2 linked regions of the Sus scrofa genome follow. Each later gene encodes a partner of the first gene's protein in a complex. Links are inferred from orthologs where the notes say so. Each region holds a gene or a part of one and is shown in the gene's direction. Other genes may lie near its edges.

Region 1 (3,819 bases):
AGGGAGTTTTATGGTGTTCTGTTTTATATTTAAGTCTTTTAGCCATTTTGAGTTTATTTTTGTGTATGGTGTGAGGGAGTGTTCGAACTTCATTGATTTACATGAGGCTATCCAGTTTTCTCAACACCACTTGCTGAGGAGACTGTCCGACTTACGATGTACTTCAGTAAGCATAATACCCTCCATGTCCAGGATATTAGTTCTTTTATACCTTTTCCTCTACACTCTCATTCTTCTACTGTAATTAGGTCATACTTTTAAAAAAATTTGTATTTGGTGTTTTCATAATTGTGACTGTATAAAAACTATTTGCTAAGCCAATACTATGACTATCTTTTCTTTCTTTTTTTTTTTTTGTCCTTTTAGAGCCACACCCACAGCATATGTAGGTTCCCAGGCTAGGAGTGTAACTGGAGCTGGAGCTGCCTGCCTACACCACAGCCACAGCAATGCCAGATCCAAGCCGCATTTGTGACCTACACCACAGCTCATGGCAACGCTGGATCCTGAACCCACTGATCGAGGCCAGGGATCAAACCTGCATCCTCATGAGTACTAGTCAGATTCGTTTCTGCTGAGCCATGACAGGAACTCCCCTATGAATATATTTTCTTATAGAACATTTAATTTTTATCTATTCCACACCTATCCACTCCCTACCCACCTCCTGGGAAATAACCATCCTGGTCCTCAATAATAATATTGGTCTGGATTTGTTGCCTTCTAGCCTTCTACATAGTTGTTACCTAGGATTTTCTTCATTACCGTACTGGGAGTTCTTTTTCCTCTATATTTATTTGATTCCATCTTTACTGACTGTCATCTTGATTTCCTTCCTGATTTTGATGGAATATATATTCTCCACCAGGTTCTTTTGTTTTTGTTTGTTTAACTTGTTTGTTTGGCTGTAGTGTGCAGCTGTGTGGTTTGCAATCTCAGTTCCCAGACCAGGAATTGAACCCGGGTCACAGCAGCAAAAGCATGGACTAGCCCATGGACCACTAGCCCATAGACCACTAGTTCACCAGGGAACTGCCTCTCCCCTAGATTCTTGAGAAAGGGTGATAGAAGCTAAATTTTTGGTGACTTTGCCTTTATAAAAAAAAAAATGTCTAAATTCTACTGTAACCATTGATTATCTGGTTATAGCATTCAAAATTGAAAGATAATCACTTAAATTTTTTTTTCTTATTTAATAACATAGAAGCTATGTGCTCATGATTCAAGTGATTATAGATAGAGGAAGTATGTTTAATATGAGGGAGTTTTTGGAATGATGGAACTATTCTGTATCTGATTGTAATGGTGGTTACACCAATGTCTACCTGGGTTAAAATCTCTAATACTGCATACCACAGAAAAAACTTCAATTTGCATGTTTGATAGATTAAAACATGAAAAGTAAATTAAGACGATTTCAAAGTACAGAAAGAGAGCAAAAAAGGAAGTCTCTTTTTCTCTCTCCCTTAGCCTTCCAGCTTTTCTTTCTGTAAGAGACCACTGTTACTAGTATTATTTTCCCACTTTCACTCTTAAACATCTAAACATTCAGGGATAAATCAGGCAGAATTGAAAGGAACTTGGAGTTGTTCAAGTATTTTCAGAGATTGCTAAGATTATTACTCTTGGAATAGTTCTATGTATGTTATTAATCAAACCTGGCACTAATTTATTAAAATTATTTCCCCTACAGTTGGCAAACATGAATTGACTGGTCATAAAGTTGCTGTGAAGATACTCAATCGACAGAAGATTCGAAGCCTTGATGTAGTAGGAAAAATCCGCAGAGAAATTCAGAACCTCAAGCTTTTCAGGCATCCTCATATAATTAAATTGTAAGATCTGATTATATTAAATGTACATGTTATTTCTCATTATTTTTGTTAACCTGCTTAATCTGACAAGTGAGAAAGATGAGTGACATTTCTTCAGTCTGTTCCTGAGGGTTTTAAAACTTCTTCCCATTTATGTATTTATCTAACCCCATTCACGGTCACTAAAGCCTATGTCCATGTTTTGCCCTTGTGCTTATCGGGTGTTATCTATCTTATTCTTTCTTGTCCTCTGGACTGATGCCCCTCTGATAGATCACCTGCAGCACCCCTATTGCTATAGCGCCAAGAATGATTTGCTAGTAAAAACTCTTGACCTCCAAATTTCCACATGTCAGCCTCACTAGAGACATTGCAGTAGAAAGGGCTCCCCTCCCCCTCTGCCCCCCCCACTGCTTATATCTGATAAAGCAAATAACAAATAATAGATTTCAGGAATTCAACATTTCAAAAGGTGGCAATACTATCATTGTTTTATAGTTGCCAATTGTAGGGTCTATAGGTAACTGTATACTGTTCAGCTTTATTATGCAGGCTGTGAATGAAAACCATTTAGACTTTTGTATTGAACTGGCTAACTCAGAATTTGTTTCATGCTCACCTCTTCTCATTTGTTGAGGTGCCATGTTTTAGGTACCATCCTTATGCTGGCGACCGTTAAATATACATCTCCTCTTTTGAAACTTGTTCCTTAATTCCCGACTCATATGTCCACAGCCTGTTTTACACCTCCATTGGGGTATGCACGAGGTACATGCCCAAAACTGAACTCTTTATTTCACCATCTCAGTTAATATCCTCAGGGCAGAAACTCAGGAACTATCCTTAACTTTCCTATCTCTCTCACTTCCTACCCTCCATTCCATCTCTTCCTTCAAAAATAAATCTAGTATCTGAGTGTTTGTCAGTTCCTTATGTCATCAACCCAGTGTGAGCCACCTTTATCTCTCTCTTGGACCACTGCAGTAGCCACCTACTACCACCTTACTGCCCCCAGTCAGTTCTTCACACTACTGCTGTAAACTAAAGTTACTCTTTTAATCAGCCAGATCACAGGACAACTTTGCTTAAAACCTTCAGTAGCTTTCTTTCTCCCATGGAATAAAAGCCAGAGCCTCATCATGGCTGTAAGGTCTTTGTAAGGTTTTCTGTTACCTCTTGGAGGCCACATCCTGTTTCTCTCTTCTTGCTCACTCTGTTCCAGCCTTCCTACCATTGCTCAAACCTGCCAGGCAGGTTTCCACCTGGGGGCCTTTGCACTTGCTGTTTCCTCTGCCGGGTTTACCGTCTTCCTAGATAATGGCAGAGTTAGTTTCCTCACTTCCAAGGCTCTGCTTAAGTGTTACTTCATCAGAGAGGCCTTCCTTGAACACCCTGTCTGAATGATTCCCTTTAGTTTGCTTTTCTCCTCTTCATAGCATGTTCCACCACCTGAGATATTGCCTTTTTACTTAGTGTCTGTTTCCTGGCTCCTGGAACACGAACTCCATGAGAGTAGAGAATTTATTTTGTTCCCTACAGTTTTCCCAGCTCCCGGCGCAATGCCTGGTGTATTGTAGGCACTCAGTAAATATTTATTGAATGAATGAATATACGTGTTTAATACTGGTAGACAATGTTTTCTCTCACCAGGTACCAGGTCATCAGTACACCATCTGATATTTTCATGGTGATGGAATATGTTTCAGGAGGCGAGCTATTTGATTATATCTGTAAAAATGGAAGGGTAAGCAGTTCTGATTTAATCCTATATATATTTTGTAACTTCCCTTATCCCTTACTAGCATCAAAAAATACCAGAAAGCAATTTTGTTAAGAGGTCTATTTAATAACCAGTTCCTTTATTCATATATTTGCCTAGAATCAGAGACTGTTTAGAGCTAGGAAGGATCTTAAATATTATCTCCGTACTACTTACACAGATATGGAATCTGAGACTGACAGTTTATATATTTGCTTAAGGTCACATAATTTATTGACGACAGAA
Region 2 (3,919 bases), on another chromosome or scaffold:
GTTGGCCTTCCCTGAGTTCCAAGGGGCAGGTTCAGACACCTACTGATCAGGGAAGGAAGGAGAGACAAAGAGAGAATCAGTCAAGCAACAATGGTACAGCCTTGGGGCAGGATTCTGGTTCCCTCTCAAGGGATACACATAATGATGCAGGCGTCTTATATACCAAGAGAAAAGTTATATTCTTTATGCTTCCTTTGGAAATGAATACTTTAAAACTGAACACCTTAGAGCCCTTCCTTGTGCTTCTCCCTCACTTGATTTCATCCTAAACACAATCACCTGTAAACTAAAGTTTAGGCACCCTGAACACAATTGCCTGTGAGTTAAAGATTATTAGCTGTGATGTTTTCCAGGAACTTTCCTAGTTCTAATCTCTGATCAATATGCCCTTTTCACAAGTAATGTTATTCTCAGCAATAACCCAGAAGACGGTGATCATGCCGAGATCTCCTGATTCCCACTTTGATGACCAAGATTCCCCCAAAGTAAGAAGAATCCTGTCTCTTATCTGGAACCTTGTTTTTCTCCTTTTAGACTATAAAATTCCCTTCAATTTCCCCCCAAGGGATGGCACAGTCTTTAAGGGATTAGGCTGCTGTAGCTTCGTTTGCCTGGCAAAGCAATAAAAACTAGCTTTTTTCTCCTTTACTCTGTCTCCGTGTTTCTCCTGCCTTTTATGCACACACCCCCACCCACAAGATACTAGATGTGAGAAATTTCCAGAGAGCTTATGGTCTGTCATTATCTCAAACACCTGCAGGACTACTTGCATCAGAATCACCTGGTGTGCTTATTAAAATGCAGATCCCAGGCCAGAGCTTCAGAATCACAATTCCCAGGAATTAGGGGCAAGTGAATCTGCATCTTAAACAGGCACTCCAGGTGATTCTAACACACTCAAAGGTGTGAGAGCGAGCACATGAAAGATCTTTAAGGAATCGCTTAACTAAATATGCCTTTTAGAACGACCCCTTTGGCTGTAAAGGGAAGAATCAACTTTAAGTGGGCAAAGATAACCAGGGTATCTAACACCATCATTCATCCCAGCGTGGGGAGGACGTCCCACATGGCCGGCGCGCTTCAGCACCCCCTGCCGGCCCTCAGCAGCCTCGTCCCGGGCGGCCGGAGCGGTCAACTGCGACAGCGCTCCCCGAAACCCGCAGGGGCGGTCTGGGGCTAGTAAACGCACGGACGTAGACCGGAAGCGGAAGTGAGGTCCGTTTGCCTGGCGCTCTTCTCAGAGCGCAGCCACCCCCCACCCGGTGGCCCCCGCCGACTTGAGGAAGTGCCGGAAGCGGAAGTTCCTAAGAGGTGGGGGGAGTTGTTGGTTAAGTGTCGGCTTGTCTTTGGAGCTTGGTAGGTTCCCCTTCTCCCCTCGGCTGATTGAGCAGGTAAAGCGCGATTGTGAGACCTCGCCAGCCCTGCCGGCCAAATTCAGGCCGGATCCCAACTTCGAACCCTATTCTGAGGGGTGTGGTACCCGGTGCTCCGACTCTCCCGGGTCCTGGTGGAGGTCCCGGGAGTCCCCGGTCCCTTCTCTGGGCAGAGGCTCGGTCCGGCTTCCCGGTGTCCACGTAAACCCCCGCGATGGGTAATACGAGCAGTGAGCGCGCTGCGCTGGACCGGCAAGGGGGTCACAAGACTCCCCGAAGGGACAGTTCGGGGGGCTCCAAGGATGGGGACCGGCCCAAAATCTTGATGGACAGCCCTGAGGACGCTGACCTCTACCACTCCGAGGAAATTAAGGTAAGGTAATGGGGGTGGAGGGATCCGTTTCTCCTTAATTTCTTTTGAGAGCTACTAGATCCTCCCGCCATATTCCCCTAATGATCAGAAGTCAGAGAGCTGTGATACTTCACACTATGCACTTAAAATCCAGATGGCCCTTTTAGTAACCCAGGAACCTGTGTCGAATTATCGATAAGACAAAGTCACCCCGAGGGAGGAGGATTTCACTTCGTTTAACATCATTAAGGCAAAGGCAGCTCTGGGACAGGTTCAAATCCTTAATTAATTAAGATCGTGGAGTTAGCAGTAATTGAGCTCTAGTCGCTCCTTTTCTCTTAGGTATAATTAATTTCAGAGCTTTGAGAAATCTTTTACCACTTTCATGCACACGGGCGTTTTTTGTAATAGTTTTGCAGTTTATCCTCAATTTTGGAGATAAGGCAGAACACCTGTAAGGTGATAGTAGTGTTCACCAGCTGACCGCAGTTCCCAGAGATCTTTAGTGTTGCCTAAACTTGTGGTTCACGCTTTAGAGCAGGCATAGAAAAGTAATTTGACTTCTGGAGGTCAGTAAGTGAAGTATTAGTCTGAAGGAGGCAGCCAGTTGCTACTCAGCTTCTCTCTCCTGTTGTTTAAATATGACTTAAACTTAATGTTTAATGTTGATGTTTGCCAAAGCAAATGTTTTTGCAGGCCACATTTGGGCATCCTGCCTCAGTCGGCTTGTTAACTCTTAAAAAACTCTGAAGACAAAAATCTTCATTCCTGCTTCAGCTACTTTCCTGCTAAGCATCATGTGGTCTCTTTCTAGAAGGCAGGGCCCAGTCCAAGGACATTTAGTGATTCTAGCAGCTGATAGGTATATGTATACCCTTAAAAAAAAAAAAAAAAAAAAAAAAAATTCCTTAAAGGGCAGTGCAACAAAGTCAGTTTGAAAAAGATGACCCTCCTCCCCCACACACACGCATTCTGTTACCATCCGCTTGCTTGTTAATCATCACTGTCCATTAGGCTAATTGCCTGGTAACTCATCCCTTCTGTACTCAGATTTTTTTTCTCAAATGTTGGGCTGAGTCACGTTATTGTCTTTTGTCCTCACCTGGATCTTGGCTCTGAGGCTGACTCTAAAGAGTCTGCTTTTACTTGGCCCTCCAGCCCGTGGTTTCAACTTGCTTTCTGAATTTGTTGCATTCCATTGCTGTGTGCAAAGTGAACTTTGGGATCCTGTTTCTTCGATGACTAGACATCCCTTCCCCCAAAAGTAATTATGGCCCAAGGGCAGCCATTTAAGACACCCTAAGAATCAAACCATTTTCTTTAAGAAGCACTTGTTCTTCTGCTGTTTTAAAACCTTACAAGAAATGTTTGGCATACGGATACTCTGTAAAGAATGATTTCAAATAATTTCCATTACTACTTCCTCAGAAGTTATGAAATGATGAGGCAGACACATTGGATAGAATGCCGATTAAAAAAAAAAAAGTCATGGATTCTTTTAACTACACTAGTTCACCATTTTGGCTGTGATTAGTTATCACACCCTCAGTGTAAAGTGATTCCAGTCTGTTATTCTTTAATCTGTAGATCTTGTGAAAACTCAAAGAATGCAAGTATCTTCTGTGTGAGCTCAGGTCAGTATTTGAAGCGAAGATACTAGAAGCCTACTTGAGACCTATAAGAGTCTCTCTCAGCTCCTGCTCTCTTCATCTTTGTTTTTGGACTAGGAACAATGTAAGAGACCCAAAACCACATATACTTCACCCAGAGCTAAACAGGTTTATTTGTCTTGTTCCAGAATACCTCGGTTATACACTTCCCACACAAGCAGTTATTTTCTGTAATGAGGGCCAGTCTTTATCTTCTTTGTCCACTTCTCCCTGGTGCCTGGATGGCGCTCAGTGAATAGGTTTCTGCTTCCTTAGAGCCTGGATTTGCCAGTTTTCAAGTTGACAGCTCTGAAACGGTCGTGAGAAATTTTTGTGTACTTCAAAATTTTGCTTAAGGAAGGAAAATAACATTCATTAAGCTGGTCTTGAATTCATTGCTGTCTTCTTGCAAGTGAGTTTTATGATTTCTCCTAGAATGTTGCTGTCGATCTCTAACAACAGCAGTAACAACAGCTAATGATTACTAAGCATTTACCTGGGTCCCCCACTATGCAGAGCATGTTCCGTGAACTGTCTCACTCAGC

What was found.
Region 2: the proteins of PRKAA1 (region 1) and PRKAB1 are in contact, whole or in part, in a crystal structure (PDB 6C9H), measured with the Homo sapiens proteins. The link is inferred for Sus scrofa from reciprocal best matches to the Homo sapiens genes PRKAA1 and PRKAB1. Residues at the interface, in NP_006242.5 of Homo sapiens: Gly20, Val22, Lys23, Ile24, Thr32, Lys40, Lys42, Asn59, Arg60, Ile63, Arg64, Val69, Ile72, Arg73, Ile76, Gln77, Val93, Ser95, Thr96, Pro97, Ser98, Asp99, Ile100, Phe101, Met145, Met175, Ser176, Asp177, Gly178, Glu179; in NP_006244.2 of Homo sapiens: Pro79, Val81, Arg83, Leu103, Pro104, Thr106, Val113, Ile115, Asp159, Phe160, Glu161, Val162, Phe163, Ala165, Leu166, Met167, Val168, Asp169, Ser170, Gln171, Arg201, Ala202, Pro203, Pro204, Ile205, Leu206, Pro207, Pro208, His209, Leu210.

Annotation. Positions count from the first base shown.
Region 1 is NC_010458.4:25,762,782-25,766,600, reverse strand, and holds part of PRKAA1 (5'-AMP-activated protein kinase catalytic subunit alpha-1), read left to right. Parts: intron 1-1,693; coding exon 1,694-1,835; intron 1,836-3,464; coding exon 3,465-3,558; intron 3,559-3,819. UniProt on the Homo sapiens protein: Catalytic subunit of AMP-activated protein kinase (AMPK), an energy sensor protein kinase that plays a key role in regulating cellular energy metabolism.
Region 2 is NC_010456.5:33,214,918-33,218,836, reverse strand, and holds the start of PRKAB1 (5'-AMP-activated protein kinase subunit beta-1), read left to right. Parts: upstream 1-1,210; 5' UTR 1,211-1,587; coding exon 1,588-1,746; intron 1,747-3,919. UniProt on the Homo sapiens protein: Non-catalytic subunit of AMP-activated protein kinase (AMPK), an energy sensor protein kinase that plays a key role in regulating cellular energy metabolism.